3 linked regions of the Nothobranchius furzeri genome follow. The protein of the gene in region 2 interacts with the protein of the main gene of each other region in a biochemical or structural test. Links are inferred from orthologs where the notes say so. Each region holds a gene or a part of one and is shown on either strand. Other genes may lie near its edges.

Evidence for each region. The genes of interacting proteins can lie anywhere in the genome.
Region 1: the proteins of ntrk2a (region 2) and bdnf form a complex in vitro, tested with the Homo sapiens proteins (3 studies listed by BioGRID). The link is inferred for Nothobranchius furzeri from reciprocal best matches to the Homo sapiens genes NTRK2 and BDNF.
Region 3: the proteins of ntrk2a (region 2) and ptpn1 form a complex in vitro, tested with the Homo sapiens proteins (2 studies listed by BioGRID, with this or other methods). The link is inferred for Nothobranchius furzeri from reciprocal best matches to the Homo sapiens genes NTRK2 and PTPN1.

The regions. Positions count from the first base shown.
Region 1 is NC_091749.1:64,456,929-64,461,138, reverse strand, and holds the end of bdnf (brain-derived neurotrophic factor), read right to left. Parts: intron 1,687-4,210; coding exon 856-1,686; 3' UTR 636-855; downstream 1-635. UniProt on the Homo sapiens protein: Important signaling molecule that activates signaling cascades downstream of NTRK2. During development, promotes the survival and differentiation of selected neuronal populations of the peripheral and central nervous systems.
Region 2 is NC_091757.1:48,543,272-48,546,922, forward strand, and holds part of ntrk2a (BDNF/NT-3 growth factors receptor), read right to left. Parts: intron 3,393-3,651; coding exon 3,260-3,392; intron 3,078-3,259; coding exon 3,006-3,077; intron 1,452-3,005; coding exon 1,224-1,451; intron 1,029-1,223; coding exon 1,005-1,028; intron 541-1,004; coding exon 529-540; intron 1-528. UniProt on the Homo sapiens protein: Receptor tyrosine kinase involved in the development and the maturation of the central and the peripheral nervous systems through regulation of neuron survival, proliferation, migration, differentiation, and synapse formation and plasticity.
Region 3 is NC_091755.1:52,053,232-52,057,062, reverse strand, and holds the end of ptpn1 (tyrosine-protein phosphatase non-receptor type 1), read right to left. Parts: coding exon 3,698-3,831; intron 3,596-3,697; coding exon 3,434-3,595; intron 3,347-3,433; coding exon 3,210-3,346; intron 1,015-3,209; coding exon 756-1,014; 3' UTR 636-755; downstream 1-635. UniProt on the Homo sapiens protein: Tyrosine-protein phosphatase which acts as a regulator of endoplasmic reticulum unfolded protein response. Mediates dephosphorylation of EIF2AK3/PERK; inactivating the protein kinase activity of EIF2AK3/PERK.

The DNA of each region.
Region 1 (4,210 bases), on a different chromosome or scaffold from region 2:
GTGAGTATGAGACTTTAACTCCGGACAAGCGGAGTCAGGCGGCCTAAAAATGCGTTGATTAAACTTTATCGACATGGATTTAGGTTTTTCAGTTGCCTATAGTCATTTTTATTTCTTCAAATATTTCAGTTTAATATTGCAAACAACTTCACAACATACAAAATGAATAATATTAACCCAGAAACATGTCAATGACTATATATATATATATATAAGCTCTTTAAATATATCTTATTCTCTGGTGGGGATAAAAAAATAAACAGCAAAGCTTTGACAACAGCACCTTGACATAGTATGTATTTCCAACATGACCTTGAGAAGTTTAGAACAGTAAACAGATAAATTACTCGAGAGGAGACGTCTTCTGTTGAATATGTAAACGGAATGTTGTTGTTTTTTCTTCTTTTTTTTTTGGTCAGCATATTTTCCTTTTTCCTTTATTTTTTTGGGGGAAGTTGAGAATTTCTCAATTCACAATTGAAGCAGCATGCAAGCCTTTGAAGATGGAACTGTCCTCTCGTTCCTTTGCCTGTTTCCTTTATTTTTTTCCTTCATTTTTTTTTGTAATTCTTGGCAACGTAAACAAATCACAATGTCTTGATTTATGTGTCATAGTAATTTAAACTGGGCGCAAATGACTGATCAGATTTTTTTAATTGTTTACAAGGTCATGAATATGTTCAATAAATAGACTGTAATATCACTTTACTGTAGAAACTTCATCTTTTTTTACATGCAGTCCATAAAATTTTTCATTTGACGGAATAATTTACCCTGTTATGTATATATACAAATAGATATTTTCTCTTTATTCTCTTTTTTAAACTCTTCAATAAAATCTATACATTTTATACACTATCTCCCTCTTTTAATGGTCAATGTGCATACACATGAAGTGTCTATCCTTATAAACCGCCAGCCAATCTTCTTTTTGCTATCCATGGTGAGCGCTCGCACGTAGGACTGGGTTGTCCTGCATTGGGAGTTATAATGCCGCTTGTCTATTCCTCTGCAGCCGTCCTTTGTGTACCCCATGGGGTTGCATTTGGTCTCATAAAAGTATTGCTTCAGCTGGCCATTGGGGACAGGGACCTTTTCCATGACGGTAACTGTCTGCCCGGACATGTCTATTGCCGTCTTTTTATCCACAGCTGTCACCCACTGGCTAATACTGTCACACACACTCAGCTCTCCACGCCGTGAGGGGTCGGAGTGTCGCCTCACCCTCATGGACATGTTTGCAGCATCCAGATAGTTTTTGTATTCCTCCAGAAGAAAGAGCAACGGCGGCTCCAAAGGCACTTGGTTGCTGATCATCACCCGCGAGTTGTACAGGTCGACATCCTTGTTCTCTGTGGTGACCACGGGCAACGGGCCCCCGCCTCCCTGGCTCTTGTCAGACCCCTGTCCCAGCTGTGCGGCCTCTCCCTCCACCTCCAGCAGCTCCTCGATCACCTGCTCGAACGTGTCTGTGAGCGAGGGCAGCTCGCCGTGCTGGCCCGGCCCGCCGCCACTCTGCAGAGTCCCGTGGCCTCGAGCGGTCGTCGCAGCAGCGCCCAAGTAGCCTTCCGTCCGATGGCCCCGAATGCCCGGGGCGTCTCTCAGGGGCGCAGCTCTCATGCAACTGAAGTATGAAATAACCATAGTAAGGAACAGGATGGTCATCACTCTTCTAACCTGGTGGAACTGGAGGGGGGAGATGGAGAGAAAAGAAGGAAGAGAAAGAAGAAGACGGTTAGTCAACGGGCATTTTAAACAAGTTGGCTCATCCTTAACCCACAATGCATCACGCAAGCCTCCGCTCCTCCTCGCCTTTTTCACTTTTTACGCCCACCGCTCTTTGTTTGCACACCAAATAAAACGAGAGCTTCTGAATAACCACAGCATGTTTTTGTCAAACTGATGTTGGCACCGTGTCGCCATCAGTGTTTTCAAATTGTTTGCAAACTGTGATCCATGTCAGGTCTGGCTTAGATTTCTATTTGTTGGCAGCAAAACACAAAAGCTGTGCTGGGCATCAGCGAGACTGCTTATTCCTAAAGATGAGATTACACACATGGACGCTGAAACGTCCTCACAGGCGTGCGATTATTCATGAACTGGTGTGTTGACAGTGTGTGCAGACACGTGCAGTTTTTTTAATGGCCAAACCCATCATTCGTCCTGCTCTGCGTTGCTGGCTGCATCTGGTTTTAAAAGCCCCAGGAATCAGGGCTGCGCTGACAGTTCGTTGTCATCGCAGAGTCAATCTCACGGTCTCCCTACATGCCCACAGATGATTCAGACCATGTTGGACAAAGTGCTGCAGCACGTGCAGAGGGTTGGGAAAACAGAAGGCACTGGGAAAAGTCAGGAAATGATTGATTTGTAACTGATACCATTATTGCAGTAGTCACTCGTATCACAGTTTCATGTTGAAGCTCCAACAGAAAGTTTAGATTTTTGTCCTTTTTTTCAAAAAAAGTCAGATAACAATAAAACGGACCAACAGTGAACTGGAAAACCAAAGAGTTCATTCCCCTCAGAAAGCTGTCAAAGTGACTTCTGAGTGGTAAATATTGCGTTTCCAGTGATGCTGGTAAACAGCAGCGCTGCAGTGTTGGTTATATGACCAACAAACTGGTCCGTGCTGCAGGACCGGTCCTCTCTCTGGACCTCGTGATCATGAATGGAGACCTGGGGGTCTGTTTGTTAAGAGAAGCTGTTTGCTTTTGGCAGGTGACCGGCAAGTGCAGAGCCAGATAAATTAACAGGATGTCACGAGGAAGCTGTATGACAAAAATGGATGCTTCATCCTTTTCCTGCACCGTGTCAAGCCCACACGGCTGAGGAGGGCAGCTCAGGAAACGAGCAGAGTGCTGCCAGGGTTAAAGAGAAAAGCTGCAGGGAGCCAGGTGTTGCTAAAAGGCTGAACATACGTCCTCATCGTTGCATCGCCTGGGCACATTTGCATCCCTTACCTCCGAGGAGCTCTAAGATTCACAAATCATTGAACTGGTGGACATCCAACAGCCAGAGACATAAAAGCAACCCTAGAGAAAAAAATCTAGATCTTGCTTTCCACGGGGGCTTATTTAAAAATAGCCCGGCTGAGGCTTTGACTGCAATCCGCATGTCCCGAACCTGATTCAGGAAAAAACGCCGAGCCAACACGCTCCTGTCTCCACTAAGGATGGGCACGAGGACCTTCTCCAGCAGGGAGGAGCGAAACCGCACCTTAAAAGCATTTGTTTCACTCTTAATTGGTATCTGGGGCTGGGGCTGCAATTAACCGACTCCACGGTGAGCGCCGTAGAGAGATCTCAGCTAAAAATAGACGTGCTGGGAGTCTCACAGTCTCAATTCAGAATATCACATCCTTCTTCTTAATGAGCCACTCACTCCCTGAGCTCAGTGACGCGCTATTCCAGAGTGTGTGAGTGCGTGTGTTAGAGGGAGGGCATGGGGAGGGGCTTGTGTGTGTGTGTGTGTGTGTGTGTTTCTATGAGAAGGGACGGAGGGTATTTTTCCTCTCACCAACTAAAACAACTATAAGGGCAAAGGCCAATGAAGAGCTCATTATCTAAATGATCCTTGAAGATGTTCGGTGAATCCCTCTCATCCCTCAGATGAGGTGTTGGTTCTTCAGTCATCCTTCCCAGCACAGACATCCATGTCGGTTTACGGGACGGAGGCCAGTCACGAGCTTTATGTGTAGGATGCATTTAGGCTGATATTATTATCTGCACCAATTGGTTCCACTTCCACATGAGGGAAGTGACGGCAGAGGGCTGATTACTGTTAGGCGTCAAACTTCATGCTGGAAATGGTGCAGACGAGGAGTGCTGCATCTTCCGTAACAGACCACAGGGGTAATGTTGCAGTAGCAGGGGGTGGGGAGAGCGCCGGCGTCATTTCGCAGCATAACAACCACAGATGACGTCTCTTCCAGGTCTCCAAAGGGGAGAGAGAGGATGGAGGGGAGGAGGTTGCCGGGGGTAATGCCACTCAACGGTGCGCAATTGCCTGCTGCTCCCCCGGGTACCCTCACACCGGGAACAACAGATGATTTTATTTCTATCTTTGTTATTTCCTGTTTCCATCAGGACAATCAATGTGGCTCATGCTCTCAATCAACATCCTGTTAAAACGCGATAAAACCAGTGAATCATTTCATCGCCGAGGGACCGGCGGAGAATCCGCGCCCCGCATCCACGCATGTGACAAATGC
Region 2 (3,651 bases):
GCTGATATTGGACTATAACAGCACTGGGACTGTTTACAAACAGTATCACTCCACTGTGCACAGGAGTTCTAACCGTTATTACAGAGCTTTGTAGAAAATGTTTGTGTTGCCTAGCAACAGCCTTGTCTGAGTCTCTGTTTCGTGTTGGAACTATTTGTGTTGGTGGACCCTGATAAATGGTTAAATAAATGAACAAAACATAATCTGTTGTTGCTTATTGTTTTTATAAAAATAAAATGAGCAGGTAGAACTGTAGTATAAAAGCAATATCACACTCGAGGTCATGCGTTGTTGCTGTTTATCTACGGCACACAGCCTGCGGCCTCATGCCTACGACTGAATCACACCAGTGCTGATATTCAGCAACAATGCACGCCCTCTCATGTGATATTTGCTTAAACATATTTTTGTTCCACTATACTTTTATTTCACGTTGGGAAATGTAGCAAAAGTTAACTAAATCGGTGGTGATTAGTCAATTAAGTCAGGCTGGTTTTAGGACTGAGTGAATAAAATATTTAGCTGTACCTGTTGGTATTTCTGTTGGAAGACGCGTTGGAGAAAGAGACAGAAAGACAAATTAGATTTCAAAAACAAACATGATAACCTCTTTCATTTGTAAACGTTTTACATGCGCTACTTGACATTTACCCCGTAAACCATGCCTGTTCTCTGAGCTAGTTTAAAACACACACACACACACCAAAAACATTACAAGATGGTGTCACACAAACCAACTAAGAACACAACATGCACAAGAGCTGAAAGAAAATCACAACATTGGAAACGTATTGCAATAAACAAATGAAACAAAAAGTTGCAAAGTTGTGTAGGACTGGAACGCACCATCACCACCTCCAGAGAAAAAAGAGAGAGAAAAAAAACATTTCTAAAACGTGATGCTGATCAATTCCTGTTCAACATAAAAACTGACACTGTGGTACTGTGGGAAATGTGAGCCTTTAGCTGTTTAACATTTGATAAAAAGAAAACATTTCACTCACCATAATAGATAGGAGTGTCAGTATCTACAAAAAGGGAACAAATCCGATTACTTTCCGGTGTCCATCATTCTGCAGGAGCAGTAGCTAGTTTTCTAACAGATTAACTTTCTGCTCTGAGTTGAAGCATTTTCTCTTCAGAAGGCAGCTGCATTTGCGTAAATGACAGGAGCTCAGTCACGTTATTGTGACAACAGAGAATGGAATATCCCAAATCCTCACCTCCCCAGGGCTGCAGCATGAAGTGAGCTGAAACCATCTTTTGGTCTGACCCATATTCGTTTGTAACCACCAGCGTGTACTGTCCGTTGTTGATGTGTGTTGGGCTGTCCAGCTGCAGACAGCCGTGGTATTCTCTCTCTGTGACGTCGTGGATCATGGTCATGATGTAGTCACCCTCCGTTACCTTTTCATCATCTCGATACCACTGAAAGTACGGTTGGGGGTTTGCTGGGAAACAATGTGAAAGAATAAATGAATGCCTAATTTGTATTTCCATCTCGGCACTGGTGCAGTTTCATCACATTGAAATTAGATGTTGAGCATACTTTTAAAGGGGAAATAGGCAGTGTTGGCTTGCTTTTAGCACCCCCTAGTGTCTGTTTGAAGAACAAAAAAACCTAAACCTATCACATCGATGTGCGTTCGTCTTTTAACACCTTTATCTAACAGCTGAAATGTCTCCCCAGCTTTCCTTAGTGAGGGATGAGTCATCACTAAATTAAACAAGTCAGCTGTGTTCATGATTTAAAACATGCTGGAAGCAGACTGCAGCTCCAGGTATGTCAGCTCAATTTTTTTTCTGTCCCAACTGAATAGCCTGCCAGCCGGAAGCTGCGAGTGAAATATTCTGGCCACAGGGGGCGATGAGGCCTGGGTGGCCAGGGGGGTGGGGAGGTGTTGCTGCTGGATTGTCGGACCGGGGGGTGGGGGTGGGGGGGGGGGGGGAGTGGGGGGGACTTTGGAGCACTGGCAGAAGTTATGAAACTCCATATCGTTAGATAAGCCACAACACTCACGCTCTTTAAAAAAATATGTAAATAAATGAAAAGATAGAAAACATATTTTTTTGTTATCTTTCCCAGGTACTGTGTGCCGACCTGTCATTGTTCTTAGTAGGGATGCACCGATACCTCTTTTTTCCAAACCGATACAATACCGATACTTGAATCTGAGTACTCGCCGATGCCAATTACCGATACCAATACTTCCACCACACAAAAAAATGCAATGATTTTATTTTCTTCTCTGCTTTCAACAGGAAAAGACTGTGAGGTAGATTAAAAGTAAAATATATGAATGGAAATCATCACAAAACTAAAATATTAGGTGAACAGAAATGACAAGTTACAGTGAAGCCATTTTCAAGCAACTGCATTGGTATCGGTTCCTGGTATCGGTTAACTTTTACCGATACCGATACTGGCATTGGTATTGGCATCGGCACAGATACCGATACCAGTATCGGTATCGGTGCATCCCTAGTTCTTAGACAGATCTTTTATTCTTTTGTATTAAAAAGTTTTACAGCGTGTTTGTTTAATTGTCTTAAATACTTCTTTGCAATTGATAAACTAGTTAGTTTTAAAGCTCTATAGAAGTTTTACAGAGATTTCATCAATGTACAATGTGCATGGTCATTCTGTGAACGTTTTTTTAACTGCTCTAGAAATAAAGATGATTGGACTCTGGAAAATGTCATGATTTTAATCTGCCTTTGTTCTTCGTTCATTTAAACTTGGAACTAATTACTGCTTGCTCCGTGATTCTGATGCTACGAAAAGGTACATTTTGGGTGCAAATTGTGCAAAAAGTAATGAGTGCTGTGCTTTGTTAGTGAATCTGGCCAGTGATGTTAACTTGATTTGCATTATATCTCAGCAGCAGTTGTCACTCTGTGCATTCATTGCATTCAATTATTTTAAATTTTTCACATTTTACCAACTAAATCATATGTGAATGAATATTAAAACATCAACAAATGAGAAAGTGTGCCTTTCATACCTGCCACGCTGAAGGGGATGCACCAGTGATGGTCGGGGATTGCATCACTCAGTTTTGTGATTTTTGGTGGAACTGAATGCATGAAGCAAAAAGTAGGTTTTTAGGAAAAAATGTGTTTAATTAAAGCAGAAAAAACATGATCAGACCAAAAGTGGAATTATTGCAGCTTGTAAAAATGTTTAAGTGGTGGGAAAAATATAACGGACACATTAAACTACTTTAAGTTAAAGCTGTTTAACAGAGTAAAAACATACAAAGTATGTCCAGCAGCAGAGAGGACTCCCTCTCTCCAACGATGTTTCCAGCTGTGCAGCTGATCTTGCGGTTGTGATCCAGTGATGACAGGTTGGACAGACGCAGCACTGAAATCTGACCTGATGTCTCAATCTGAGAGAAAAAAAAAGGCAATCTGTCAAGTCAATTTATCCTGAACCTCTAAAAGATGCTGAATTTAGTCATCATAGACCCAGACGAATGTTTGTGTCTTTAATGGTAACACAAGTTGGGGAAGCTGTTGCTTGAATGTTATGCTTTAATCATCAAAACTAAGTAAGTGTCCTAAGATTTATGCAAAGATAGGATTTTGTGAGAAAAATCAAATTTTAGTTTAAGTTAAAGTCCCACTAGTTGTCACACGGATGTGTGA
Region 3 (3,831 bases), on a different chromosome or scaffold from region 2:
GAAACGAAGAGGACGCCGCTCTGTCCACATCTCACATTTTACTTCCTGTTAACGAGACATGGAGCAGGTTGAACAGGCGCGCGCACAGATACACAAATGTACAGATACACAGAAGACACACTCAACCGGCCAATCAGAGGCGACTAGTGTGGACAGATCACAGTTCCAAGCCCACATCTGCATGCAATCAGTGAGCATGAATTCACTTTTTTATTTCTATACACACTCCGCTTTAACCCCCCCCCCCCCTACTGGCGTGTTTTCTGACTGGCTTGTCAAAAATCAGGACTGAACATTTCAGACCCATCTGTGTTAGCAAGTGGGCTAAAAAATAAAACAAAAAGTTAAATCTTAATGAAAAAGAAAACAGAAAGTCACATTCAAAATTGTCATTTTGGTAAATAAGATGCATATAAAACGGGCAGACAGGGTTCTCATCCTGGTTCCCAGACCAGCAGCTTGGAGACAACCCCTCCCAACAGCCGCAGTCTGATGTACTTGACAGACACACACATAGACACACACGCACGTTTGGGTTGTGGCACCTGAAGAACTGAGGTCCTGAGCGTCTGTGATGGCGTACAGAAACGACGTTTGGGTAATTAGTGGCAGCTCCTCCTGCTGCAGCTATAAAAATAACAACAGGTCAACCTGAATAGAACAAAAGCTCACTGACAGAGTCAGAGCAGGCTGGTGAGGCAGCCAAGTCCACTTTGTGACACAGAACAAAAACAATCAGGAAGAGGAAAGAGACATCAGTGGAAATAGGCTCGATAAAAAATGTAAGCACTGAGGGTCACCGCTGTGCAGAGACACACGTTGACTAGGAAAGGGGACCAGGTCCCCGGCACAGGAGAGCTTTCCTTTGGCTGCTCCGCTGCCTTCGGCTCATCCTCCTCCTGCTGGGATGTGTTGGGAGCTGTGGAATGAGGTATTCCCACATGCCGGTCCGGCTGACCAGCCCTATCAGAAGGAGGCCTTGCAGCGGTTAAGATCCTCTGTCGCAGGTCTTCCCTGAATGAGGAAAAAGACAGATGGATGTCTCCCAGTTAGGTTTGGAGTTTAATGGATGCATCCATCAAGTCGTTTTACACAAAGAATAAAGTTTAAAGCAAACATTGATATGGATGTGTAAGCTAGTGAGTTGCGGTGGATGGCTGCTCATCCTGAGCCAGGTTCTGTTGAGGTTTCTTCCTGTTACAGGGAGTTTTCCTCTCCACCGTCGCTACATGCTTGCTTAGCATGAGGATTGTTGTAAAGTCAGTGACGATGCAATCCGCTGGGTTCCCTTATATAGGAAACTTTAAACGGCATTAGACTTTGGTGGTACTATGGTATTACTGTATACAGCTGGTGTTTAAAAAGAGCAACACTATCAGTGTTAATACGTCATGAACAAAATGTAGTGCATTTAGGAGATAAGGACTAAATATAAAAAAAATATTTGATGTGTAAAACTGACGTGTTGTTGAATTTTCATTTTTAGTTAAATTGTTTAATATGTTATAGTCGACTTTTGGAGACATTCCGTAAAGTTTATGAACATGACGTCATCATGTGACAGCGCGGAGGAGAGAGAGAGAGACGCACCTTAAGAGAGACAGGGAGAGAGATGGCAGGTCGTGCACCTACTGACTCGGTGTCAAAAATAAACACAACTTCTGCTGTTGGAAGTATTTTGGATTCCAAGCAAACGATAAAGGAGAGCCGGTGTTCCGTCAATCCACGTTTCCCTGTCAAAGAGTGTTCCTCGTGCAATAAAGAGGTGACAGCAAGAGATGCAGGTCCCGTCAGCACCGCAGATGAACTCTAGAGAGCTAAAATAACAGCCGGTTTGGAGCCTATTATTCACTTTTCTGGTAGAAATATGCTGCTAGTTTCTTCCCCAGAAGTTGTGACTGGCCCAAAAGCCTGTGTCTGTGCCACAAGCGCACCATCGGAGCAGGTTTTCAGCACCCCAGGCAAAGTTGTTGGTACAGAAGGTGCAATGTTGAATCTGGAAAAGTAAACGTGCAGGTTTTTCTGGCGAAAAATATTATAATGAGCAGCATTTTTTTAATTAAAATGTTAACATTATGCTTAATATGTTTGTTTTTTTTGGTGGCAATAGTGTTGAGATTCAGTTTCTGAACTGTTACAGTCCAAGCCAACACTTTGTTAATGCCACTTGAGTTTTAGGTCATAATTTTTAATTACTCATGGAAATACCGTACACTGTGGTAACACGTAGAGGAAGCTTAACGATATTGAAATTTGGATAACACCCAAGCCTAATTGCCATTATGAACTGAACCCAATTTTACCTTGTGAAGTGCCTTGAGACGATTGTTGTTGTGATTTGGCGCTATATAAATACACTTTTTTTTTTAGAAAAATGTTGTGCTAAAAGTCACGTTTCTGTTTCAGTATGGTGGGAAAAATGTTCTTTTCTAACCGGAGAGGAGAGGAGAGGCTTGCGTTGAACCATATAGGCAAAAATAAATAAATAAAAAATATCACATTGTGATTCTTTTCCAACTCTTGCGATAATGAAAAGTAGTGAAACCTTCAACAGATCACTTAAATAGCACTTTCAGTCGTGCTGCACTCCTGCCCTTTTTTGGATGAATAACCAGTCAGCCTTTTACGTTCCACGGGAGGTAAATTACATCCTTCCTTGTCAAATCGGAGTTTGTTTTGTCAGCATGATACCATCAGAACTGTAGACACAATAAACGCTTTTAGCTATATAACACAGAATATGTGTATTTTGCAACTGTTGCTGTGAAACTCGCACACAAGAATTTCACTCGCATGTACTGTACCAGTGTACCTGCACGTGTGACGTGACAATAAAAGTGATTTGATTTGAAATGCTAAATAATGTCCAGCTCAACGTCTGAAGCGTCCCATCACAGACGGAACACAGCCATCTTGAATAAAAAGATTTTACGTCCCCAAGAGTCAAATTAATGACTCCAATATATTAGTTAGTCCACAACAAGTGTCACGTCTACAGTCCAACATAATAGACCCCTGATGCGTTTCATCCTCATAGTAGCTTCAAACGTTTGATCAACATCTCACCTGATCCAACAGATGAAGGCCCCCCCATCACATCACATACCTACGTTGTGATGCTGACTATCAATCGAAGCACGGAGCAGCTCTATTAGGAACCACCCCCACCCCAATGCTCAGATAAGCCCGCAGATGATTGGGATGCTCACCTCAGGATGACCTCTTCTTTATCAGGGAAAAAAGGTGGCTGCACTTTGCCATTGTGAGGGTCTCTCGGAGGAGGAGGGGGAGGGGGAGGGGACTCCGGAGGATCATCTTCCTCGTTAGAGAGCTCTTTCCACGATTCCTTCAGAAGCAGAAAGCTTGTTTACTAAAAGGACTTCAGCAGAATGCACAGTCATAAAAAGCTCCGAAGAGGAGAGGAAGAACCTGCCTGGAGAGATTTATCTCCTTTGATGTACTTGGCACCTTCGATGACAGCCAGGTAAGAGAAGCGAAGCTGATCCGCAGTTTGGATCAAACCCATTCGATACTGCCGCATCTTCAGCAGCACATCGCGAATACGCACCGATGACGGGTCCTTACGAAGAGACATCTGAACACAAAGACAGCAGTCAGAGTGATTCTCCTCAGATAGGCGACTGCTTTGTTTGTGATTGTCTCACTGCATGCTGGAGTTTATACAAATTATACAAACCAACAAGAGGCAAGTGTCCACAAGGCAGAAGGTCCCAGAGCGTCCGATACCAGCGCTGCAGTGGACCACCACAGGTCCATGCTCTGAGTTCAGACAGCCTGACTCTCGCACCTTGAACAGAAAGTTGAGGAAGG